Linked DNA regions of Oryzias latipes. The protein of the gene in region 2 interacts with the protein of the main gene of each other region in a biochemical or structural test. Links are inferred from orthologs where the notes say so. Each region holds a gene or a part of one and is shown on either strand. Other genes may lie near its edges.

Region 1 (6,715 bases), about 25 Mb from region 2:
CATGTGGGGGATTCCCTGCTCTGAATGCTGGGTGCAGCTGCATGGGGGGGGGGGGGGGGGTCTGGTTTGACTCCCCCGCCTGAAGCCAACACACCGCAATCTGACGCCTCAGAGCTGGAGCGCGCCAGCGGACGCATGACACCGACACGTCTATTTTTGCGCTGGAGCTGCGCGCCTGTGTGAGAGGAGCGAGCACGCGCGCGTTGGCTCTTCAAAGCGGGTTAGAATGGTGTCGGGGCAGATTCCAGATGAGCGCCGCGCGCGCAGATTAGTCCCGTCCTGATCTTGGGAGGGAAAGTGAGAAGCTAAGATGAGGCTTGCAGCATGGGACAGTAGGGGGGGGGGGGGGTGTCAGCATTGGCCCAGATACCAAACACAGAGCTGGGGGGTGGGGGGTGGGTGTCATAACATGCCTGAAGTTTGTAGTGTAAAAGCACACGGACGGCGCGGCGGAGGAGAGCCGAGCTGAGATGAAGATGGAGATGGCAGAAAACAACAGGACGTGGTCTGTCTGTGGCTTCCTGGAGACACACTGTGACACGAGAGATGGATGTCAACACGCGTGGATGTGGACGCACGAGGACGACACACACGCAGCACAGCGACGACAACAAAATATTCAATCAGAAACGTTACCATACTGCTTTAATCCAATTTTTGCAGCGACATTGCAAGTGTCTGTTCGAGGCCCATCCTCCTCCTCCTCCTCCTCTCTCCCTCCTCCCTCTTTGCACACCAAGGAGCAGCCCCCCTCCTCAAATGAGTCTGCTCCCAGCAGCTATCGCGCGCGCCATCACCGCTCCGGATTCTAACGCTCCATCGTTAACGACATCAGCATCCACAGCCTGCTCCCTCTGCGCTCGTCTGTTTTCCTCCCTCTCCTTTGTGTCGTACGACCACCCCCCCCTCCTCCTCCTCCTGCCGCCTCCCTCTGCTTCACCCTCCGCCCCGCTCTCCCTCCGCATCTCTCTGTCTGCGCAAATGGGAGCAGTTCTGCCCTGTAATGGATGAGGGAGCAGCAGGACAGATGATGGAGGGAATGGACAGAAGGAGGTGGGGGGAGGCTCAGCAGAGGGAGGGAGGGAGGGTGGCTCCAGGCCTGCACCTTGAGTGCAAACAGCCTGTGTGACTGATGCCAACACACACACACACACACACAGTGACCACCTCCCTTTTCTTGTGTGCTCATCACAGAAGATGAAGGAGGAGGCGCCACCACTGAGAACTTGTTGGAGTGTCCTCTGAAGATGTCAGTGTGTGTGTGTGTGTGTGTGTGTGTGTGTGTGTGTGGGTGTGTGTGTGTGTGTGTGTGCATGTGTGCAGGAGGATGGAGGCTGAGCGCACATGAAAGCAAGCTTTCATCAACACCTTCAAAAGCAGCTCCGGTCCAGAGAAGCTCAGGTTCCTCCTCTTTCAGGTGCAGCAGAGGAGCGTGGGAGAAGCGCTGAAGCTGTCAGGGAGGCTCCAGAAAAATCTGCTGCCCAGCAACAAACCAAAAACTGAAGACCTACAGTGGAGGAAAGAAGTGTTGCCGGTCTTGTTGTCTATTTTGAAAAATTGTGGACTTGGGCCCCTTTTGAACTAACCGATTCAAATGTCTTCTAAATCATTCCGATTTGGTGGCTGTTGCTTGGCAAAGCTGAGCTTCAGTTCTCTCCACAGGTTTTCTACAGGACTGAGGTCCAGAGACTGGCTGGACCGCTCCATGACCACGATCTGCTTCTTCAGCCTTGGTTGTCTTGGCTGTATGTTTTGGGTCAAGGTCCTGTTAAGAGCCACCCATCCACCACACATTTGGAGGTAAGCACATCCTCCCATCCACACGGGGAAGTTGCCCTGTGCAGAAAAAGCTCCCCACAGCATAATGCTTCCACCTCCATGCTTGACAGTGGGGATGGTGTTCTTGGGGTCAAAGGCAGCATTTCTCTTCCTCCAAACAAGACGGCTTGAGTCGGTAGATGCCAAAGAGCTCGTTGTTTGGTCTAATCTGACCACAGCACCTTCTTCCAATCACTGTCCAGTCATTAAGGTGTTCCCTGACACACTTCAGGTGGGCCGGCACATCTGCCTTCCTCAGCAGGGGGACTTAGCACTCTCTACTAGATGTCAAACCATTGCAGCATAAAGTATCACCAATGGTTTTCTTGGTGACTGTGGTCACAGCTGCTTTCAGATCATCAGCCCACTCCTGCCGTGTTGTTTTAGGCCAATTTCTCTCTGTTCTCATGATCATGGAAACCGTTTCCACCAGGACAGATCTGGTTTGGAGCCCCAGACCTAAAGGTCCACTGATGATTATGTTCTTGTGTTTTGGCAGAATTGCACCAACAATTGTCATGGTAACCCCCAGCTTCTTGCTGATGGTTTTGTTGTCCATCAGTTCTACAATCTTCTCCCTTAGATCCAATGAAAACTCTTTAGTCTTTTCCATGTCTGATGGACTCTGGACAGGTGTCTTTTCTACAGGCGTCTTCAATTCAGGTGACAGGTTGAAGAGGAGAGTCTAACTGGTCTGTGTGAACCAGAACTCTTAATGGTTGCTAGGGGATCAAACACTGGAGTCCCTTGATGAAATCTAAATAAATGTATATACGTTTGTTTGATGTGCTTTGTGATTTTCTATCTCTCACTGTTCAAATAAATCTACAGATGACAGATTGTCCTCTATTGTACCTGCAGAACATATTGGGAATTTCCTCCAGAACAGACATATAACACTAAAGCAGATTGCCATAAAATGCAAAGTAAAGCCAACAGAGAGAAGGCTGCAGTTGATCTGCTGGAGGGGGCGAGGACGGATCTCCATTCACTGTTTTTACGCCTCCTCTCTGCTCTTTGTCTCTTTCTTTTACTTGTTTAACTATAATCAGGATTGCAGCAAGAAGTATCACCAATGGTTTTCTTGGTGACTGTGGTCACAGCTGCTTTGAGATCATCAACCCACTCCTGCCGTGTTGTTTATTACCTCAACTCCCAGCACGAATAACCCAACAATTGTGTTGAAGAAAATAAAGGTGTGTGTAGAAAAACACAGATAAAACTCCTTCAGCGCTTCATCACCTCTTCCTCTCCTTGGATTGAGTTAGGATCCAGAAAAACCATCAGCCTTTTATTTCAGATTTATCACGGATCCACACAAACACGATGAATAACACAATAAATAAGAGTCGACTCCTGAGGAGCTGAAAAGTGATCGCATGACCAGAAGCATCAGCAGAAGTGCATTGGGGCAGGTTTGCTCTTTTCGAAGCCGTCAGTTCATACATGATTAAAGTGACCTTACATGACTCTCATCCAGATTAGGCGGAGCAGCAGGATTTGCTGGACAGATATGTCGTTTACAAGCGGAGAGCAGTAGTTCCATCCATGACACCTTTGCTCCTGATGGAAAAACCTTCCTCACGAATACATTTGGACCTGAAAATACTGTTCCTGATCGTCCTTTACGCACCTTAAAATACCTACAAGTACAACTTCTGTGCAATACTGCAATGTTTTTAGATTTATACTACTCAAATACATCTGATATATGCTGAATATATATCTATAACCCTTGTGCTATCTAGTAGGGTCCAGATGACCCCACTCCCAACGTTAACATGCCTTGGGAGCACGTTAACGTTGGGAGTGGGGTCATCTGGACCCTACTAGACATATTGGCTTGTACAGCTCACCGTCTTGTGGGGTCCAGGTGACCCCAGTTGGAAGTGGGGTCATCTGGACCCCACAAGACAGTGAGCTGAACCTTTTTTTTCAATGTTTACATGAAATCCTCTCCACCTTTATCTACATTTCTCATGGTAGGGATAACACGTCAATGTAAGGGTGGGGTCATTTTGACCCAACAACATAGCACAAGGGGTTAATGCTCCAAAGAGATAAATTGCTACACACTGAACATTCATAATCCAGAGCCATTCACACGTCAGGACAGAGCAGCAGATGAATTTGACGAATAAGAGACAGGACATGAAGGGAAATGCAGGTTTGTGGTTCGTGATGGAAGCAGAGCGTCTCTAGACTTGGAGACGTTGAATCTCTTTTTCCCAATAGTTCATATAAAACTCTTCACTTCAGCATAAAAAAAGGGGGGACATTGTGATTTTAACACATGCTGTACATCTTCCTCCTCTCCTGTGGGTGGGAGCCGAGATGTGGAATGTACAGCGGCGAAAATGTCTGTCATCACTTTGGCAACCGCTTGATCCAAATGAGGATAAATCCACTGATTCCGTGGATTACCGTTAATCTTCTCTGCTCAAATGTCCCCTTCTTAGCCCAGGGAAAGGCACCGATCCCCCCCCACATACAGTAGCCTAATTAACTGAGCAGTGAAATGTAGCTGAACCCCTCCCGAGTTCACAGGTACGGACTCCTGCGGAGGGCGTGGCTTCTGAGTGGGGCGTGGCGTGTGCGCTCCTCCGTCACTCGCCCGATTTCCGCGGCATCCAGACCATTCGTCGTTTAGCTTGGTAGAAATCTGCAGGGATGAAAGCGACACTGAGCTCAGGGGGAATCGGTGCAACGACACAGACGCAGCTGAACGTTCCACTCCCATCATATTTTGAGAAAAGCCTTCCCTGTCGTCTTTTGATTACGATTATGCCTTTTTTAGCCAAAATGAAATAATCTTGTCGTCACCTCTGAGATGTGGGCGGGGCATTAGCTCAGAGTAACCCCGCCCCTACCTCCCATTATCCATCTATTTGTACCCTCTCTAGCTGGCTTACAGCCCCTCACATTACTCTTCTAGCTCAGACGAGGGACTAAAAAAGTTTTTTGGACCTATTTGTCTGTAAATGAATGCAGATACTCTCTTTTTCTAACATTTTTTATCTGCTTTGAACAATTAAATACTAAGCTTTTCTTTATAAATGTCCTCCATCGTCAATAAAGCGTCATAAGAACACGATTCAAAACAAATGAAAGCACCTGTGATGTTTGTCTGTTTCCTCTTCATCCCGGCCTTCTCCTCCTTCTCTGGTGTTTTCTCCACGTTGAAGATGTTCTCTGTCAGTGGGATGTTCTCCTTCTCCCTCTGCGGCAGCTCAGATCTTCGTCTCTTGGGGGGGGTCCTGGTCTCCGCCGTCTTCTGGACCCGTCCAGCATCCTGACAGCGGTACAGCAGCGGCACTCCGGCCCCCGGGACGCTCTCCCACAGGAAGTGGCTGCCCTCCAGGGGCTTGTCGGAGCGGAAGTCGAAGCCCCAGCGAAGGGACGCTTCGTCCAGGTCTTTCCGCAGGGCGGCCTGGTACTCCAGCTGAAGCTGCTCCCGGTCCACCGGGCCAAACAGGTTTCGCCTCGCGGGCCTCCTGGGAGCGGCGGGAATCCGCTTTGGAGCAGCCATGGTTCTGCACTGTTTGAACACAGAACACTCCTGGTTAGATCTCAGATGTCATATGATGATGAGATGGATCATGTAAAGCAGTAAAAGAGTCAAAGAAAAACCCAAAGTGTAAAAAGTTCCGAGCTCACCATGACTGTTCACTCTACAGACCATCAGAGAAAAGCAGAGCTGTGCCTCTCCTCTCCTCCCTCCCTCTTAGGAGAGGCTGAATCATCGGTACATGCCTGGACATAATCTGACAGGCCGACAACACAGAGCCGCCACTAGGGGGCAGAGTGGCAATGACAGATCCACCACCAGAGGTGTCCTTCCACCTCAGTCTGCATGACAGACCGCATCACCCTGAACAGGACATTTTCCTTTTTAGGAAAAAAGGAAGTCCATCCCAGGCCAGGCTGGTTATCCAGGAGGACAAAATAGTCCACAGTAAAGCTTGTTGTTTTTTTTTTAAAGAGAGCAGAAAATGAGGATAGACAGCAAACAAACCCCCAGCAGCTTGTTAGATATGATTTTATTATAATACATAAATTAAAAATGGTTGTTCCTGTTTTTTTTTTGTTTTAAAAAACACTTTAGAAAACAATTTATACCAAAAATATGAATATTTTCCTTTATCTGGTTTAAAACTATTTCCAGTTCTTTAGTGATAATGTTTAAATTAATATTTAGGTTTCTCCACATTATAATCCCGCTGTTCTTAAAGCTCAGACTGATGGATATTGACATTAAATATCTTATTTTTGAATGTTTTGATTCTTCCATTGAGGCTGGAACGGTGATCTAGCAGAGTAACCCAGACTTTTCATGACGTCATAGACCGACATAAAGCTTCTGTTGTCTCTTCGGGGCGGGGTCACTGGGGGCGCGGCCGACTCCCATCGGGGCGGGCGTTCAGGCCATGGCGGGAGAGTATGAATCCGGGTTTGGACCAGCCCCGTTCGGTTACTACGAGGCTCCACGTGAACCTGGAGCACGTGTCCCCCATTCAAACGGGGCTGTCACCGCCGTACTCACGCGGAGGACGCGCGCGCGCATCAAAACACCCTAGATAGGACTTCTGGAAAACTTTTTTTTGATTTAATAAGTTACCAGGAAACTTTTTTAATTCATATAACCAGAATGTTGGATCAACGACGCTGAAGTTAGCATCCGATTCACAGCTTCCGATTCGCGAGTGCACTAAAGGAGCATTCCACTGTTTTTTTTGCACTAAGATCTCCTTAGATGGGGTCCGGTTCAAAAACTGCTGGACCTAGACTGCTCAAACCTGGATTAAATTATGATTTAGATACTGAAGAATACATTAAACACAGTTTCTGATTTGTGAAACCTTCCTCTGATTTGTGAAAATGTGAAATAGGTTGATTT
Region 2 (11,998 bases):
GGAACAAAAATGAACACGTTTGGGAAAGTGATGGCATGAAAAATGGATATGAAACTTGAATTCAATAAGGAGAGATCTTAGATGATAACGAAACAGGAATTGAGCGTGAATAGCCCTTGGTCTTAAGCGGTTAAACTTTCGGCCGGGAACACCTTGCATGCTTGGGAAGAGACCCCTGAGCCCAGACTCTGATGCTGAACTGCACCGAATCGAAGAGCCAGGAGGAGAACAGGGCGAAGGTGGGCCGGCGAAATGCCGATAAACAAACTTCTATGAGTTTAAAGGAATTTGATTGTGATTGGCTGTGAAGAGAGTGAACTCTTTAGCCATTTGGCTCAGAGAGATGACTAACTGATGAGTGATGTGAAGAATCAGCAGGCCAGCGTCCCTGAAGATGAGGTAGATCTTCCTTATCGAAATTGGGCCAAAGCTTCACATCAACTACATGATTAAAATCTTTGAATAAAACCTGAAAAATCAACAACAAAAAAGATGAACTCTTTGGTTAACATGTCATATAAGCCCCTCTCTCATCCCCAGACTGTAGCGACATGATCTCCAGCATAAAGGCCATGAAGATCCTGAAGCGAGTCGGTGGTCCAAAGGGAATGTGGACCAGAGACACCAGCGGGGCTTCCAAGAAAGTCTACATCTTCAACGGGACAGCTGAGGACACTGTCAACGTGTTTGCCTCTGTGCAAGACCTAACGCTCTCCCAGGGCTTTTCTCTGTCCTCTGACCTGAAGCTCCCGAGTCCCTGGAGTGGAACAGGACACGTGGTCCACAACAACCAAGTGTATTATGTAAGCCAGGCGGAGGAGATAACGGTGGTCAAATTTGACGCGAGAAATAACTCTGTGACAGACAGTGCAGTGTTTCCGCTGCAGGACCATGTTCCCGTGTACGGCCTGACCTCCGAGACCCTGATGGACCTGGCTGTGGATGAAGAAGGCCTGTGGGCCATCTATGCCACGCGCCAGAACGAGAAGCACATCTCTTTAGCTAAAATGGACGCCAACTCTCTGGGCGTCGAGCAAATGTGGGACACAAGCTGTCCAAGAGAGAACGCAGAGGCGGCTTTTGTTATATGCGGCACCCTCTACGTGGTGTACAACACCATGCAGCCGGGGCGTTCACGGGTGCAGTGCGTGTTTGACGTCAATGACATGGTGACCGCAGAGGAGGCCCCTCTGATTTACTTTCCAAAGCGGTACGGCTCCCACTCCAGTCTGAAGTACAACCCGCAGGAGCAGCTGCTCTACGCCTGGGATGACGGCTACCAGATCCTCTATAAGCTGGCCATGAAAAAGAAACTGGAAATTTGAGGCATCGAATTGAACCGTGTCGGAGTCTTGACAGTTTTTCAATCTGCTGACTATTTCTGACATCAGAATTGTTGATGTTTCCAGGTCTTTTCTGGAATTTTTCTCATTTACAAAAACCTCTGTGAATTCTCTGTATGTTTTTTCATACTCTGTAGTGAATGTTGGATTTTTTTTTCCTGTGTCATAAAGCAAGAGAATAGAATGACTGAATATTTACAATTCCATGTGTTGCCAGTTTCGGCTCCTCCAAGATGTTTTTTTCACGCCATAAATGTCACTGAAGTTACATTCAGCTTTCTTGGGGAGCAAGAACTGTCATTTCTCTGACGCGTGCAACAAAAAAAAGGTTGTTCTTCCTTTTATATGTAATTCATAAGTGTTTCTTTTATTCCTCATTTGTCGATGCAAACAGATGTCTGTCGAGGGTTTCGACCGACGGGTCTTGACGTGAATTCAGTTTTGAGCTGTTTAAAACTTTTGGTCAGTTGAGAATTATGCCATTTATCCGTATTTGACGTAGTTTATGCACAACTATTGCATGAATCTTGCACAGTTGTGCATAATTTTTGCTAGATGCATACCCAAATTAGTGGCCATTTCACACTTGTACCACCGACGAATAACTTTTATGTTGCGTATACAACACAGATATCACGTTCAAATTACATAATTGACGCACGAATCACTAATGAATTGCATTTAACAGCGCAATAATCACGCACGGTTCTTGTTCGTCCTTGATTTACGTGTTCTTTGCGTGATTTATTCGTTCTTCTTCCGTGTTTCAACGCTGTTCATTTTTGATAAAGACCTTCAGGTAAAGTCCACAACTTTTTTCACTTTTTCCACATATATGCATGTGGTTGTGCAAACCGGCCTTTGAATCCAAGAGAATGCCAATAAAAAGACCCCCCCCAAAATGCATCCAGAGGCTGAATGACCAAGATGTTGCAGGAGCATGGCATGCATGGAACAGAAATAAAATCTATGATTCCAGTCAAATGGCTAAATCAGAAGACCATATTTTAAAAACTAAATGTATTTAGTTGTATTTTGTCCTTTCAATAAGTTTTTGTTCAAAACAAAAGGTCTTTCCGACTTTGCTCAGACAACAAAACATGTTTATTTCTACTCCAAATTACACATTTTTAATGATACTTTTTGAATTATTTCTACAGCTGTTTTCAGGCATGTAACAAACATTTACATGTATTTATAACATGTTCATTCAGAATTAAGTGATCTAATGAACATTACACACATTTTGAAGTCAAAGATTGTACATATATCATTTTTAACGGATGCGTATTAAAAGTGTAGTTTTTTAAAATTCTGCTTTTTTATTAAGTTAAAATAAAATGAATAAAGAATCTCATGTTTTGTGCAAAAACTGCTAGCAGGCTAGCAACCACACACTTCCTGTCTAAATGTCTTATTTTAGTGAATAAAGAACAGCAGCATTAATTCCATTTCTGTTTGTGCTTTACTGGTCTTTCTTTATTCTTGTGTGATTCTTCAAGGTTTAGGAAGAACTAATCTGTTTACAGTGATACTGTTTTTTTTATAATGTCATGTTTGGCTGCAAATTCAAAGGGTAAGATTCTGCAGAGTCTTCTCATAATAAAAAAATTAAACGTTTCCACAGAAAACACATTTCACCAGAAACTTTTACTTAAACCAGTTTATTTTTTTTCCAAACTGCATATAAACAATATCTATAAAAATGCTATTTAGGCACTGATAAAATCTCACTTAAGATCCACAAGCATTCAGTTTCATAAAAATTCAAATAACAGAATGTTTGTACATCGGAACTTGAGTTTGGGGAGCGATCCAGGATCCTTCAGAAGCTCATTTCTGTGTTCGGGTGTTCAAAACACCTTAGTTATTTGCATCCCCCCCCCCCCCCCCCCCCACTTTGTTCAGTCATTTTTAACTCTGCCCAACAGAAAACTTGAACATCCTTAACACAAGATGGGATTGGAATTTAGAGATGTAGAGCAACAGCTTTTACCAAATGAATCCTGAATCCCGATCCAGCTACATGTACGTAGTCAAGAACGAATCATGAAAATTACAGTTGAACCCCCACATAGATTACAACAATGCAGATTAAATAACAGCAACACGTTACTCAATAATCCACCGTCTCCTGCATCGTCTAACTTCCATTTCAGACGGGTAAGTGGTGGAGCAAGGCGGCCTTTATTGCTCAGACTTAATTCCGGCGTGGCGTGCAGATATGCCTCACAGTCGGAGGTTAGGCACGGGCATGGTCACGTCTCGGAAAAAGCGATGTACAAGTGCATTTTTTGCAGAAAGCCTTTTGTTTGGGTCATATTTCAGCATTTCCTGGAGAGAAAGAAATAATGTTTTTTCATGCTTTGAAGTAGTGATCTTAAACACTTTATACATGAATCAATTCTTTACAAGACAAGCTTATCAAATATAATGAACATCAACGCCAAACAATTCAACCTTTTCAGGACCAAAAACAACTTTATCATCAATTTAACAGCAATAAGCAGTTTATATTTATATAAAAGAATTTTTTTTCATGCCTGGCAGTAAAGTCGAGACAAATTTAAGGTCCTTCTTACATGACAGTTATTTTACAAGCACCAGGTCAGAGGTTGAGATACACCAAGTGTGCAGTGATCAAACGAGTTTGGAGAATTGCTTTTTTTAAATTTAATTTAACCTTTATTTTACCAGGAACCTCTTTTTCAAAGGAGACCTGACAAATGTGACATTTATAATGGAAGAAGAAGCCTGGAAGAAATCATATTATTTGTCATATTTTTTAAAAAGGGTCAATTTTTCACACCAGGTACGTTGGTGGTAAGGCTTAGTCACCCGTGGGTTAACCCATCACATTGGTTGTTAACTGTACTAATGACACCGACCGCAAGTTATGTGATAACTCTTGAAATAAATCCTACAAGTTGAGTGGGGGGTCTGTGTGTTTTTGTTTTGTTTGTTATTTTCACACGTTTTTTGCACTGTTTTAATATCATCTTTACCTTACTTTTGTATTTATTTTTTCATTTATTTTGTACGCCTTTGGATCGTTGTAATAAAACATAAAAACTGTTTGTTCTCAAATTTTTTTAGTTACCGGTAATACAAATTAGTAAATTTAAAACCTGAAATTGAGTTTTTGTAAAGTTTCATTGTGAAATTATTGGGATATAATTAAAAATATTCTGCTAAAAAAAAAGAGAGACAGAGAGAAGCCGCGGTTGTACTAAAAAACAAATGTCAAGCATTACCACAAAAACTATTTTAAAGATAAATTATTAGAGAAAAATGGAAAGTAGGAAAAAAAGCTGAAAGGGCACCATCCTAGAAAGGCAAACAAAAAATTTGAAAAGGTTTTTTCAAGTCAATATTTCTGAGCTGCGTTTAAAATATTGTTTTTTTTTTTTCAGTAGACAGAAAAAGTTATAATTTGCATAAGAGAATTTGTCATCCTTTCTAAACTCTACACATAAAAACAATTACTCTTAATTAACGCGTTTGCAGATATTTAACAGGAAAAGAGTAAAACATGTAGCAATCAGAAGAAAATCTCACTCCGAGCAACTCTCTTCCATCTTCGTCTAGAAGCGGAACCACTTTGGATAAATCCTGACGAGCCCATTTGGGGAAGGAGGGCTTGTAGTCGGGCATGGATGTGACTCCGGGCCACGCCGTTTCGTCAGGTGTGCCCAGCGTGCGAAAGATCCTGAATAACTGATCGATCTCAGAGTCTCCGGGAAACAAAGCCCTCCTGGTGATCTGTGAACACAGACCATCAGTTTATTATCAGCGTGCTCCTAATTCTTTATTGAAGTTGGTCTTGGGGTCGAGCGCGTTACCATTTCAGCGAAGATGCACCCCAAACTCCAGACATCGACAGCTGTGGAGTAGTATTTGCAGCCGAGGAGGATTTCTGGGGCTCTGTACCAAAGTGTTACCACCTGAAAGATACCACAAAGAATCAAGAACGACTCTAATGTTTTATTATGTGAACCTGATACAAGACAAGAAAAGGTCTGAATCAGATTTTGAAAGAGCAAAGCTAAGAAAATACATATTTTGGGATTTTATCCTTTAAAATAAACATTTTCTCACTATCCAGCACTAAAAATCCCTGAACCACATTAGAAAAACAAAATCAGCTGTTATCAGATCGATTCGTACCTTGTTACAGATGAAGAAAGGGAGGAGCACACTGTACCTCATGAGTGTAGGTGCGGACCGGCACTCCAAAAGCTCTCGCCAGACCGAAGTCTGCCAGTTTGATCTCACCCTGGGCGTTGATGAGGAGGTTTTGGGGCTTCAGGTCCCGATGAAGAACTCTGTGAGAGTGGCAGAAAGCCAGGCCTTGCAGCAACTGGAAGAGATAACTCTAGAAACACAAGACAGTAAGAACAAGGAATCAGGTCTGGACAGTTTCAGGATCTTCTCTTTAAAGAGGACGCTCACCTTCACCAAAGCCAGCGGGATGCCAGTCACAGAGGAAGAGTCCATGAATTTTTTGAGGTCCTGATGGAGGAACTCAAAAACCAGATAGAGTTTGTTTTCTGTGTGAATCACATCCTGCAACCTGGACAAAAAAAAAAAGTTGGTTTAAAACATAAAATCACACAAAATGGGATTCTTTTGAACAAAATAAACATATTTCTGCATGGTTAAACACTTACTTGACAATATTTGGATGACTGAGTTCTTTAAGAAGTGAAATTTCTCGAATCGCTGTGCTTGGTACGCCCTCTGTTTCTCTGGATTAAAGAAATCACAAATTTAAGGATCAGCGGAGATTGTTTTATGAAGTTAAATGCTTCCTTTGTCCCATTGATAAATTGAATACAATTTTCCTAGTTATTGCACAATAATTCATTTTGATTAAGAATCATTTTAAATTAAAGCAATTTGTTGTGTTTATGATGCTTTTCCAAAACTTTATGGACAAATGCACATGAATTTGTAATCATCACTTTTGATCAATTTATTGACTAATTGTGTTTAGTGTTCCATTACCCCCAAAGGCAAATAGAGATGAATAAAACAGATGGTGAATAGATTTTAAATGTAACTGAGTAGGTTTAATTTGACAGTGAAACCAACCAAACAAGAGCTGAATGCTTTTATTTTGTAACATGTCAGTTTTGTTTCAACTTTGTATTATTATTTACTTTTATTTTTTAGGTCTTTGTACATAGAGTGAATTTAAAATGTTTTGTCTTTTCTGTAATTAATGAAACTGTTTCATGAGGGGACTGGAATTAAGCATTTGAGATAATCTGAATCACAACAAACGCTTCTCAGAGGTTTCAACCAGCAGGAAGAAGAACTTTTCACTTACGTATCCAGTCGGATTTTCTTCAGCGCAACCGTTTCTCCGGTCAGTTTGTTTTTAGCTTTGTAAACCACTCCATACGTCCCTTCTCCGATCTTTTCCACTTTCTGAAACGTATCCATTTCCCACCAGAATCGGACCGGACCTCTTTCTTTGTTTCGGAGCTAACGTCTTCTCGGAGGCTACAAGCATTAAGCAGCGCGGGGACCGACCTACAATTACCCGCTTCTCCGGGTTTCGTCATGCGGTCCAGGCTACAACCAAACCAAGGGGTCCCGTTCGAGGACAAACTCTCTCCGGTCAGAGAGCGGCACACAAAAACGGACAGGTGAACATCTGTCAGGTAGTAACACTAACCCCTAAATTGAGGATTAGCCCGGTGGTTGCTCCGCGGTGGAAAACAACACAACGGCGTTTCCCGCGTTGTGTTGCGGGCGTTCGTTTTTGTGCTCGAGACACACCGTACCGTTCAGAGCAGAAGCAATTTATTATTTTCCCTTTTCTTGAATTTAGCAGTAATTAAAGTCAGTCCTGATATATGGCACTGGTGAAGGTAGACCGCTATGTTTATTGTATTTAATCCAATGATTTTATTGCGAACTGGTGTAATTGGAGAAATGAGTTCCTCGTCTTCCGGCGTATAACGGAATAATAAACAAGCCGCACTCTTTGGTCACATGGTCTACGGCGTAAAGGAACCAGAAAGCTACGTAAAAGCGGTTAAATATGAAGGGAAAAAAGTTTAACGCCCACAAATAATGTGTATTTTTGGAACATTTTTTTTTATCAATGTATACATTTTCATAAATGCATTTATATTCCAATTTAACCATCAGTTAAAAAACAAAAATCAAAGACGGAGATTATTTTTTTTTAATTTTAATAACTTTATTGACAAACATTGCACATACAGAATTTCACACCAAGTGCAAATTATTGAAGTTGCCATGAGGTTGAATAACAAAAAAATAATAATAATAATAATAATAAAATGAAATAAATAATAATAAAATAAACAAAATAAAAAAAATAAACACATAATTCAATAAATGAATCAACAAAAGTAATAATACATAAAAGTTTTTTAAAAAAAGCATAAACAGTCAAAATAAAAATAAAAAGACTTCAAAGTTTCAATTGAGACAAAACCTTTTTAAGTGTTTTATTAGTTTCTTTGTTAGTGCAGCATTTCCTTGTCAAACACATTCACACTGTTTTTTGTTAGTGAGATAAAACTGAAATCCCAAAAGATTATAACCACTCCTGACAACTTTTTGGCAAAAAAGTAGTACACTTGTACACCTAAAGTTTACTTCTTAAGTATACCTAAGTATAATTACAGCAAATGTACGCCTACTATACTCCATGTACATGCAGTACAGGAAGTATACTAACAGAATACTTCTCAGAATAAATTATTACATTTTATGTCTTCAATATATAGTGTATAAAAAGTAAACTTAAAGTATAGACTCCAATGGACTATCTTTGCCACAGGATAAGAAAAGTATGTTAGAAAATATTATTAATTTTCTACTTTTGTAAACCAAATTTTACACTAACAAAAAGAAAAAAAAGTTTTTCCTTTGTTCAACTTTTCTATTTGTATTCATTGTAATATATATATATATAAATATATATATATATATATGTATTTGAAGAGATCGAAATTGAAATATCATTGTCAAGTAATCACTTTTATGTTGGTATAAATTATTGAATTACATAAGTAGCCCTCTGCAGTAACGTGGTTCTAATTCAGATGAAACACTGGAATTTATGTATTTTTTATTTTTCATTTATTTTTCAGAACTGTGTATACACAACACGCATACACTGCTCCCGTTATACCATTCAGTGCAGTGATATCACAAAGACGTCAACAGTTCAGCATAAATTATCTATCATTTGGATCCAGAAAGACAGAACAGAACAAGCATTCTGTCCTTTGTCTGTTTGGCTTGGGTCCTTCATATCAAACATATAGCCCTAATATCTATAGGTCAGCTGTTTTTTCCCCCCCTCTTTATGTTGAAACATCCTCAGAGTTTGGTGGAACATAACAAGCATTCATACCAATAATCCACATGATTGAAGCCCACAGGCCTGAAATACCCCCCCCCCCCCCCCCATCAGATTTATGTGCAAAGCGACATATTTGGGTATAACTAGAAGGCTGCTTCTATTGTATAAAAAAGTAATAAACTGCCTTTAGTGTTTGCTCTGAAGTGCATTCAGTGGTTTGTTGGAAAATTATTCTGCATCATCATGTTGTGTTAACTGTGGGAAGTTAATTTATAGACCTCCCAGTTCATGGAAAGTTGTCGCAGGAATGACAGATGAGCACTGCTGATAATCCGGTGACAGAATTTTCTTGTTAAGATTTATCATAAATCTGAACATTTTACTTCAAGCAATAAAAAATAAGATTAACAAAGATGCAAACCAAAATATAGGTTAAACCATATATATAGTGTGTGTGTGTATGTGTGTATGTGTATGTATGTATATATATATATATATATATATATATATATATATATATATATATATATATATATATATATATATATATATACATAGTGAGAGAGAGAAAGAGAGAGCTTCCATGTTGTGGAGAGACAGGTTATTGGCTGGTATTTGGATGGTACTGCACCCTTTGAGGGACCCTTCTGGATCAGGATCGTTTGCCCTTCCGTTAGCCATTCGGGGTGAATCCCATCTCTTAGCGGCCGGTTCATTTGTCCTCCCTGGCGCTCATGGAGTTTCTTTAGGCAGTAGACATGTATCATGTCAAGGCCCAGTGCTGTCTAGTTCTTCGTATTTGAGACTCTTTCTTGGATTTTTGCCACTGTGATGGTTACTTGATTCAGTTCAGGCAGGTTGCTATGTTCCCTTCTTAAAGGGACCAGCCCTTGGGCATTGCTGTTATGTGCTGTCTCTTTCTCCCAGTACTGTTCAGTTTCCAGCCTTGGTGGGTCTGGTCGTTTGCTGCCTCACTCAGCATAACGGTAGTTATTGGGGCTGCATAGGGATGAAACTGTTCCTCACTTTGGTCAGACGTGATTTGATGCAAACATTTCTGACCCAACTCTGCTTTTGCCTTTGATCTCCATAGAATGTACAGTCTTATGAATCGCTGTTATTTCATCTGTTCCCCAACATTATTCTGATTTATTCAACATATCAGTGAAAAGTCTCATAATACTGGACGATTGCTTGTTAGAAAAGAGGTAAACTGTTTAAGAAAGAGTGTAATAGCTGAGTATTTGTGGTATGTTAAATCAAGTGCACTTTAGTGAGGATTTGTTTCCTCCTGAACTGGGTTTGTGAGCACATGAGGGGTCACATGCAGTGCAGCCTCACATGCACAGGACTACATCAGTGGGAAAATCACCAGTCCCTGTGATAAGAGAGCCCAGAAATGTCCTTTCACCAAAGACAAGGGCGTCAGTATCTGTTTTTTTCAAATGGAATCAAGTAGATTTAAGGAGAAAATGCAAAAAAATAATAATAATAAACAGATCTTTACAAAACAACAGATTAGATCAAAATCTTTTTCACTAATTTTAATATTTAAATAAAGCTAAGATGACTTAATTTTTTCTTGAAAAAGAAAAGAACAGCAGGTTTGTATTTACCTGTTGTCAAGTGTTTGTCCCAGTTTATAGCTAGATAGTTCTTTATTGTCATTCTCACTGGTACAATGATATCTTAAAAGTGGTATTTGGTCAGTGCAACATTCATATATTGAACCAATTTGCCATGCTAAAAATGACAACAACAGAAATAATAAATAATACATAAAAAGTGCATCATTCAGTCGCTAAAAACAGGAAATTATAATTAAGTTGTCGCTAGATAAAAGTACATCAGTCATAAAGTTAAGTTTAGGAGAAGTAACCATATTGGGTCCCTCAAATACTCAGCTATTGGGTGTGTATTCTGCCCGCCGTCACTGAAAACGTCACATTCTCAAAGTTGAGTTGTCAGAGTTCAGATTTTTTAATCATGAAATGTTGCTTTTGAAGACATTTAGGTTGTGGGATTTTGGTTAAAAACTTCATAATCAGAATTAAAACACTACTGGGAATGTTTTAAAAAATGGACATGTATTATTTATTAATAAAAACTGTTGATTTCATCCAGTTTAGACTTTAAAATATTACCCAACTGGGTTTCATTGATCATGATGCTGTCCTTATCTGCAGGAATGGAGTTACTTTCTGAATATTAATTATATATAAATTAAGTATTTAGGCTAAGTATGCAGGTGTCCACTTTTTTTATGGAAATAGTTTTGTTAAGTTAAATCTTCTGGATTCTTTAAGTCAGCTAATTCTTCACTGGGTACATTTCTTTCTAAAAAAAACATTTACATATTCTTGTGGTCTTTTGCTGAGATTCACATAAAAATAAAATAATATTAATCACTTTGTTGCAACCATTGTTTTAACCTGAATTAACCCTCAATTTAAAAAAAGTGAGCGGTTTACTCACAGTTTACTGATTTGTGTTAGTTCAATGTAGTACGGTATAGAAGCAAAGCCACAAACTTAAATTATTTTAAAACAAATATCTGAAAGGTTGCTTCTATTTTTAGGCTTTACAAAATACACATGGATTTTTATTTTTTTATTTTTTGGCCAAATGAAATAGAAAAGCCATAATTATGACCGACACCGAAGATTTGTCCTGTATGTTTCATTAGACGCAGATTCTCACCTGATGGGACTGCATAACAGATTAACATTAATTATTTTCGCTAACCTGTCCAAATAATATATATTTTTTATATTAAACAGACATTGAAAGTTTTTTTTTAAAATAAAGTTTTCGTTTTTTAACCACAGACTTTACTTCCTCTGAATCAGAAGTTGATTGCCTGAGGCCAATGTAAGCATGGGTGTGAGTCTCCTTCCCTTCAGATTGTCTGAGCTGCAGCCGCCCGAGGTGAACATCGGGATACGGAGGAATGACGGAGGAAATAAAAGGATGCTATTGAATGCGTGTCCACACACTAATCTTGTGATACCCATGCACACATAGCTGTAAGGTCAGAGCTCATGCTCAGCTTTACTCACTATTCTGTGCTTTTTTGCATAACACTTTCATTTATATTGTGCAATGATTATTTATTGTGTTTTGCAATATTTAAGTGAAGTTTCTAAAATTCAGTTTTTTCATTCATATTTGTTTCTGTCACATTTACGTGATCTGATATCTTGACTGGATATTTAGCTTTTTACACAATGACATTTGAAAAATAGCATCTCATTGGGTTTCATTGGATTCATAAAAATGTAAATCACTTCATTGCACAAAATGA
Region 3 (8,015 bases), about 5.7 Mb from region 2:
CCCGCAGCTCCGAGGAGACGTCCAGCTTCATGCACAGGTCCCTGAGCCGCACGCTGGCCAGGTGGTACACCTGCAGACACCACGCCGTTCTGCAGCAGATCCTCTGGGCTGAACGTGAACAGAGAACTGGTGGGTTCCTCACCTTCCTGAAGAACAGGGCGAGCGATCCCGTGCGCCGCGGCCGGCCGCTTCCCGTGTACGGCTCGGTCGTCATGGCAACAGCGGCGGCGGGTCGGCTCGGGGACGACGTCAGCAGGAACTGGGCGGTCACCACTCCGGAGGAATCGCAGGAAGACACGGGGATGAGGGTGAAGGTGCGGTCGGTGCTCATGCCTGCGGGTTGAACGTCACACCTTCAGCTCGGGCTGCTCTCATGCCTCAGACTCCTCCCACTTTCCTCCCATTCAGTGTCCAGGTGAGAAATGATCACCTTGCAGTGGGAGACTCACGACCGTCGTCTGAGCTCCTTGGCCACCGATCTTGAGCGTTGTGCTGCCGCTTGAGCTGAAGGTCAGTTTCTTGGCTGGGGAGGGCAGCGGCCCCGCGGGGGAGGTCAGGCCCACAGACGGAGCCGGAGGGTCGTCGCCAAAGAGACGCCGCTTGGCGCTCCCGGCCGCCGGGGAGCTGTACCTGTCGTGAACCGACAGCGGAGAGGGGGGCACCTCTGAAAGGGCAGAGGAAGCAAAGTCGGTGCTTGAACCGCAGCATCCTGCACAGACGTGGAGCAGACACCCACCTTTCCGCGCGCTCCCCAAACCGGCCCTGAACTCCCGGATGCGGGGGTGGATGATGGGGGAGTGGGCCGCCAGCGGCAGGTGAGGCTGAATGCCGTTAGAGGAACCCGAGTCCAGACAGGAGGAGAAGTTGACCTGTTGGAGGAGACGAGGAGACTGCTGCCAGGTGTGTCGTCAGGTGACTTAAAGAAAAACCTGGATTCCCAGAATCCTCTGCTCTAACCGTCAGATGTTTGAAGTTCATAATCTTCACGCAGACAAAATAAAACAATCCAAAGTTTTTATTTTGTCCACATGAAGGTCTACAATAATCCAGACCTTTTCATGACTCAGCAGAATTGCTGAGACAAACTCTGGAGAGCAGGAAGATGAAAGCAGGCTTCACATGTAGACCTCAGTAAACCTGACAGACCCTAAATGACCTTCAATGACCTTCACCTTGGTCAGCACCGTCACACTGACCTCCTCCACGGAGGGAACTTCGTTCCCTGCAGCCTTCAGGGCGCTCCACAGCGCAGAATCTTCGGTCCACGCTCTGCTCTCCAGAACCTGCTCCTCAATGGAGTTCAGGTGCTTCACCATGTCTCTGGACAGGCCCTCCTCAGAGCGGATGAACACCTCGATCACCTGCACACACAGCCCCAGAGACCGCCGTTCTCCTTAAACCAGCTGACTCATGGTTCAGCAGAGGAAAACCCAAGTGGATCTAAAAGATCTCCAGCGGAGCAGCGTCTCTACCTTAAAGAAGTAAAACGGGGCCAGTTTGAAGACGTCGATGATCCACGGGAACGTCCTCTGCGAGCTGTAGGAGAACAGCACCACCTCCAGGCAGCACGCCATCAGCGAGCAGTGAAAGATGTCCTGCTCCAGCAGAGCCTGCAGTCACAGCACTGTCAGATCAGGCCGCCGCGTTTCCCGCCATCCGGCGCCGCGCCACTTACGCTCATGTCTCTGCCCTGCAGCCGCTTGGTCTCCTGCACCAGAACGTTCTCCAGAACCTTGTAGTAGAGGATCTCAGCCAGCTTCAGGCGGTTCTCTGCAAAGTCTGAAGCAAACGCGACGAACATCGTCACTCTTCCCGGACTAAACCTGAACGGATGAAGCTGAGGCAGCTTCTGAGCAGAACCGGATACCTATGTGAGAACCCGGGGTGTCCTCCGAGTCGTTGGTGTAATGTTCCTTGAAGGTCTGACCCAGAGTCTTCACTCGGGCCAGAACGGAACCAGTGGGATCCCTGGAGCAGGTTCTGCAGGGCAAACGGAGGAACCGGGACACAAACGGAGAAATTTTTCATATGAACTTCCTCTCAGCAGCGCGTGCCAAGACAAACACCCACCTGAAGATCTGCATCAGGTTTTCGCTGGGGGCCGTCCTCAAACCCGCCACCATGCTCTGCAGCCGGCTGACGCTCTGCGTCGCCGAGGAGACGGGAGTGACGAGCAGGTCCTTCTCCTTCAGGTAGCCCCGCCCCGTCAGCGGGGTGGATGGAGCGAGGGAGGCGGGCTGCAGAGAATGAAAGAAGGTCCATCAGGTGGTCTGCAGAGCCCCGCTCCGACAGACACAAACATGCTGCTGCAGTCAGAGGCTGGACTTCATCGTCATAGAAACGCTGGCGCTGGTATTTCCTCCAGAGGTAACTGGAGGTCAAACCTCCTGAAGGTCTGCCGAATGGCCTGCTTCCAGCACCGAGGCGGGAAATGGTGGAGCAGCTTCATGATTTGACGTTTGTTGGGAAAATGAAAGCAAAGCTACACAAAGGATGAGCAGCAGCAGCAGAGGGGAACGGCGCATTTCTCTGCTGTCCTGACCCCATCAACCGTTTGGACGTTTTCACGGCGTGGTGGAGCAGAGGGGTCAAACCCGCCTGGTTCTGCGTCTGACCACAGGCCGCCATATGGCGGGTTTGACCCATGATGGATTTGAGACAGGACAGGAGTTTCTAGTCTTCCTCGTGGGTGCGGTGCGAGCCCCTTCCTCACAGGACGACCACGTCAAAGCGACTTTGGCGACGACTTGGCGGCGTTTGCGAGGACGCACCTTCTCCCTGTGTTGCTGCATCTGACCGGCAGAGCGATCTGGAAGGACCTTCCTCGGCGTTCCGATTTCCTCGTCTGCGTCGGCTCCCAGGAAGACGCGCTCATCGAAGTCCCCCACCGTCAGCACGTACTCCTCATACTCCCTGTTGACGGCTTTGCTGTGGAAACGGGCAGAACGCAGCGGTGAGGAGCCGCCGGCGGAAGAACCGCGTCAGAATCCAGAGCGTCCGTACTTGTTATCTATGAAGTTCTGAGGGTCCAGCATTTCCGTCAGCAGCTCCTGGTTTCCCCTCAAGATCTGAAAGGATGCAAAGAAAACGGAAGCATCAGAAGTTGTGCAATCCAAGGATGTAATGGAAAGACTGGGGGGGCCACAGGTGAGGAGACAGGGTGCACACCTGTCTCTGGAAGAGCTTCTGGATGTACGGTCTGAAGTAGTGCTGCCTGATGCCTTTGGCTTCCACCACCAGCCCATCGTGGAGCTCACACAACCTCTCCAGCACGCAGGGAGGGGGCTCGTCAGGCACCACGTGGCAGTCTGCGCGGTACTGGGGGGGCAGACCTGAGGAGACCCAAACACGGGAAGAGTTTGACGGTTGCTGGTGCAACCCCCTGAAGGCCCCCGCTTCCCCGTGAGGCCATGAAGCCGCACAGCGAGGAACGGTGGTTTGAAGCCCGCCGTGGCTTCCATGGAGCTGCTTTCTCCAACGCACATCACTCCCATCAACGTGATCATGTGTGTGTGTGTGTTGGGGGGAGTTTATGCGTGTTTGCATGTGAACAGAAAAGGTGGCAGAAGCGGAGCGGACCGACCTCTGAAGGTCGGGTTGATGAGGTCCTTCCTGTTTGCACACAGCAGAGCGTTTCCAAACACCAAGTCCAGACAGCAGAGCAGCAGGTGGTACGAGTTCACCAGGTCATCGCCGATCATTCGGAAGTTTCCTGGAAAAAAAGACATTGAAGTCTGTGCATAAACATCTGCAACCAGTACATTCCAGCGTCTGAGGACAAACTATGGATTTCAACCTGCAAACACAGAAATACTTTCTGCGTTTGTCCCTAAATGGCGTTCGCCACATCTCTTCCTTCAGCTCTGGATGTTTTCTACAGCTCAAGCAAACCCAGAGGGTTCAGGAAGGTCGTCCGGCTTGTTTCTCGGTACCTTTGGTGTAGACAAAGAGGGTCCAGCAGAACTTGAAGACATCACTGATGTGACAGGGCAGCCGTCTGCAGACACACAGGAGCAGATCCTAAAGCCCAGAACATTCCGGAAAACTCCACATCTGCTGAAAGCTGCTGTCGGTGCAAACATGCAGCAGCGTCTCTGACGTGGAGGTCAGAGTTCAAGCTGTGTCTGCAGTAGAGATGGAGCTGCAACGGATCCCAACACTCACGGTTTGGATCATGTCTCAGATCAGTAAAAAGGATGAAACATCAAGACAAAAGCCTAAAATGTATTTGTTTTTGTCAAAACCTTTGCTCGGGTTTTATTTGAACTCAAGATATTCCAACAAGACGCAATGCACCATGTGTGTATGTGTGTATATATAGTATACTGTGGACATGTATATAGTATACACCGTCATGCCTGAGGCGCGCCGGCGTCCCACCTGTGCTTCCTGCTGCGGGGCTGCCGGGGGGGCTCGCTGCCCTGTGGGTTCTGGAACATGTCCATGAAGATGGGCTCGAACTTGCGGAAGATCACGGTGGACACCTCAAAGTTTCGCTCCAGCCGGTCCATCCTCAGCCGGAAGTCTTGTGACAGGTTTGACATGTCGGCCCACTTCCTCATCTTAGAGAAGAACTGGATCAGGCTGGGAGGGGGGCCGACAACAAACGGGACCAAACATGAAGACGCAAATCCCAAAGTTGCACAGGCGGATCCCGTTTGACCGGGACTGGCTGTAAAATCCAGCAGAAGCTGCAGAGCAGAACCTGACCTGAGCTTGGAGCAGCGCAGGATCCGGGTCAGGGACACACAGTTGCCCTCCATCAGCCCCTTCCCCACAGTGGGGGTGGACCCCTTCCTGCAGGCGGCGTACAGAGAACAGGCCAGCCAGTGGACCACCTCCCCCTGCAGGAACACAACGGCACATTTCTGCATCGTCCAGCTCTGCCCACCCACCGGTGCCCGAGTGCCCTTGGGCCTGTTAGCGTCTGGCATGGCAGCTGTGCCTCCATTGGTGCGTGAATGAAATGATTGGTAAAGGTTCAGGTTCTTCTGAACAAAACCCTGTGCTAAACCCTCAGGAACAGCTAGTAGATGAAACATGAACACGTTCAGCATTCAGTCACATTTCAGTAAAATACTGCGTTTTATTTCATTCTTTTCATTTTGCTCAAAATAGACTTTACATCTTTAACCATATGAATTCATAATGAGGTGTAACAGCTGTTTTATGGAGACAACAACAGAGATAAACGATTTCCTAACGTTCACTCGTCTAGTTAAAATAACGCATCAACATAAAATCCAGTTATTACAACTAAATGTACAACATTTGGATCCGTTTGGAACCAAATATGCTACAAAAATGCTGAATTTATTCACCAGAGTGACGTCATTTTTCTACATTTAAAGAAACATTGAATCATGTGAAGAATTTCAGGCATCTCCATCTTCAACGCCATCGTGTTAAACAGCAGCAGGAGCGCACAGAACAAATCCACCATCTCAACCCTGAGATCAAACAAATCCATAAAAAATCATCAAATAAAAACAACTAAACTCATTTCCTCCAAATGGCCCATTCACTGTAACCTTTTCCTGTTTTTAAATATTTTTATTATTTGTATTTATTTAAATTGCTGTTTTAACTGTTTATTATATTTTATATAAGTACATATGATGTACAGCAACCTTGAGTGCTCAGAAAGGCGCCATCTAAATAAAATGTGTGATTATTATTACTGTATATTAATCAAAGAGCTAAAACAAATCTAGTAAAGTTTTGGACGTTTCTGTTCTTTGGGTCACTTTTCTAGACAGCAACAGATAAATGAACAGAGTCCCTTTTAAAGCCACATCAAATCAAAAATCCAGATATTAGACGCCTTTGATTACAAATCCTCCTTTATGCAGGTGAGTCGTGCTGTGTTCACTGCCCTGTTCAATCAGTAGGAATTTATAATTCTCTTTACGCCCCTCAAATACTGTTTTCTTGCTAATATTTTCTTAGTTTTTGCTAAAAAAATAAGGACTTCATATTTAAAAATTCAGTGCATCCACCTCCATGTTGTAGATAATAAATACACCTTCCGTTTATTGCCATCTATTTATTGCCATTAGTTACCAGGTAAACCTAAAGACGAGGCTCCTCTTCCCGTCACCTGCAGCATCTCGCTGTGACGTTGATTCAACAACGGACGTAAACAACAATCCTATGACTCAAATCAACACCTGGATGTTTTAACTCAGTCTCACAAATAAGCCTCATTTCAGTGTTTCTGTGTGTAAACACAAAAATCTCCGGTAAGCTTCAGGAAAACTCACGTCACAGCATCATGTATTAATGTATATCATGACCGGAGGTCGCAGAGCAGAAGCGCTCGTTGGCTCATAGCGGGTCAGTCTACAGCGCCCCCGGGAGACTCTAACCCCCCCCCGAACCGAACCGAACCGAAGCCAGTCGTTTACCTCCAGAGTGTATGTGTTCCATATGGAGGTGAAGTTGTCCATGGCCTCACTGGCTGTCTGCTCGTCCATGTTGAGCTCCTGACACAGCACCTCCAAACTCCTCCGGACCGAACTCTCCTCCATCCTCCCCGACTCAGAATCCGAAGACTCCTCCCCTCTCATCCACAGAACCAGCGCTGCCCGTCCGCGCAGCTCGAATCCGACCCACAGAACCAAACAACGGCGGAGCCGAGCTCTCACCACAACAACACGGTTCCCGTCGCTTCCGCTAACAGCTCCCAGCATGCAGTGCGGTGGCGCGAAAACTTTACCCTTCTGACCAATCAGAGGCGAGAAACCTACGCCCCCCTCTCCCCCTTTCTTATGTACCGGATGTCAACTTTTTTTTCTAAAACTTTATAAAAAACAAAAGCACGAACACATTGAAGGCAAAAACTTCTCTGGCCACTAGGAGGCAGGGACATTAGTTATCATTATCGGTTATTATTACTGGTTATTATTATTGTTAATTATTATTGGTTATTATTATCGGTTATTATTATTGGTTATTATTATTGTTAATTATTATTGGTTATTATTATCGGTTATTATTATTGGTTATTATTATTGGTTCTTACTACTGGTTGTTATTATTGGTTACTACAATTGGTCATTATTATTTGTTATTTTTATCGGTTATTATTATTGGTTATTATTATTGTTAATTATTATTGGTTATTATTATCGGTTATTATTATTGGTTATTATTATTAGTAATTATTATTGGTAATTATTATTGGTTATTATTATTAGTAATTATTATTGGTTATTATTATTGTTAATTATTATTGGTTATTATTATCGGTTATTATTATTGGTTATTATTATTAGTAATTATTATTGGTAATTATTATTGGTTATTATTATTAGTAATTATTATTGGTAATTATTATTGGTTATTATTATTGGTAGTTACTATTGGTTATTACTCCCTCCCTACATTTGTTCCTTAATCACAAGGAGAAGTGTGGAATCTCACTCCTCTGATCCTTAGACGGTTGTTTCTGTTCCATTTGCTGCACAGAGCTGGGAAAAAGCCTTAGTCCACTCTGCTCCTCCTGCTTGGAAAATGCTGCAGAAAGACTGGAAACTAACTGAACTGGTATCTTTAAATGTTTTTAAGAACAAGCTCAAAGCATCAGAGACTGAAACAATAATGTGCAACTGCTTCTCATGATGTATGTGGTTTTAATGATGTTTGTTTTTATGTATTTTTTTGTATTGAAATGTGCCTCTGGACCAAGACTCCCTTGAAAAAAAGATCTTGTCTCAATAGGACTACCTGGTAGAATAAAGGTAAAGTAAAAACCTCTGGAAAAGTAATAATAAAAAGAAACATTCAAAAATCACAATTTAAGCATTTATAGCTCAAACCTAGATATTTTGTTCAAGTGGAAATACAAATTTAAACAGCATAAAACGATGGACTAAAAACGAATGGGGACATTTAGTTTCTGGGATTTTTCCTACATGGTCTGGCTGCTTTAGACAGTTAAATATAATTCATCATAACAAACAAGTTATTGAACATTTAATTAGCAAAATGTTACAAAAACAGAGTAACAAGAA

The links. The genes of interacting proteins can lie anywhere in the genome.
Region 1: the proteins of cdk2 (region 2) and cyclin-dependent kinase inhibitor 1-like form a complex in vitro, tested with the Homo sapiens proteins (9 studies listed by BioGRID and IntAct, with this or other methods). The link is inferred for Oryzias latipes from reciprocal best matches to the Homo sapiens genes CDK2 and CDKN1A.
Region 3: of the proteins of cdk2 (region 2) and rbl1, one has a biochemical effect on the other in vitro, tested with the Homo sapiens proteins (5 studies listed by BioGRID, with this or other methods). The link is inferred for Oryzias latipes from reciprocal best matches to the Homo sapiens genes CDK2 and RBL1.

Annotation. Positions count from the first base shown.
Region 1 is NC_019863.2:2,304,899-2,311,613, forward strand, and holds cyclin-dependent kinase inhibitor 1-like, read right to left. Parts: upstream 5,361-6,715; 5' UTR 5,357-5,360; coding exon of another isoform or gene 5,348-5,356; coding exon 4,933-5,347; intron 4,481-4,932; coding exon 4,425-4,480; 3' UTR 4,380-4,424; downstream 1-4,379. Other genes in the region: tmcc2 (transmembrane and coiled-coil domains protein 2), read right to left, coding at 637-639. UniProt on the Homo sapiens protein: Plays an important role in controlling cell cycle progression and DNA damage-induced G2 arrest. Involved in p53/TP53 mediated inhibition of cellular proliferation in response to DNA damage.
Region 2 is NC_019863.2:27,089,482-27,101,479, forward strand, and holds cdk2 (cyclin-dependent kinase 2), read right to left. Parts: upstream 7,111-11,998; 5' UTR 6,792-7,110; coding exon 6,676-6,791; intron 6,092-6,675; coding exon 6,014-6,091; intron 5,917-6,013; coding exon 5,796-5,916; intron 5,719-5,795; coding exon 5,548-5,718; intron 5,288-5,547; coding exon 5,186-5,287; intron 5,106-5,185; coding exon 4,902-5,105; intron 3,678-4,901; coding exon 3,573-3,677; 3' UTR 2,992-3,572; downstream 1-2,991. Other genes in the region: olfml3 (olfactomedin-like protein 3), read left to right, coding at 541-1,325. UniProt on the Homo sapiens protein: Serine/threonine-protein kinase involved in the control of the cell cycle; essential for meiosis, but dispensable for mitosis. Phosphorylates CABLES1, CTNNB1, CDK2AP2, ERCC6, NBN, USP37, p53/TP53, NPM1, CDK7, RB1, BRCA2, MYC, NPAT, EZH2.
Region 3 is NC_019863.2:32,783,014-32,791,028, forward strand, and holds the start of rbl1 (retinoblastoma-like protein 1), read right to left. Parts: upstream 6,680-8,015; 5' UTR 6,570-6,679; coding exon 6,408-6,569; intron 4,845-6,407; coding exon 4,711-4,844; intron 4,585-4,710; coding exon 4,381-4,584; intron 3,998-4,380; coding exon 3,933-3,997; intron 3,713-3,932; coding exon 3,584-3,712; intron 3,333-3,583; coding exon 3,169-3,332; intron 3,069-3,168; coding exon 3,004-3,068; intron 2,929-3,003; coding exon 2,772-2,928; intron 2,238-2,771; coding exon 2,071-2,237; intron 1,981-2,070; coding exon 1,868-1,980; intron 1,780-1,867; coding exon 1,676-1,779; intron 1,611-1,675; coding exon 1,473-1,610; intron 1,362-1,472; coding exon 1,197-1,361; intron 870-1,196; coding exon 737-869; intron 665-736; coding exon 431-664; intron 334-430; coding exon 143-333; intron 71-142; coding exon 1-70. UniProt on the Homo sapiens protein: Key regulator of entry into cell division. Directly involved in heterochromatin formation by maintaining overall chromatin structure and, in particular, that of constitutive heterochromatin by stabilizing histone methylation.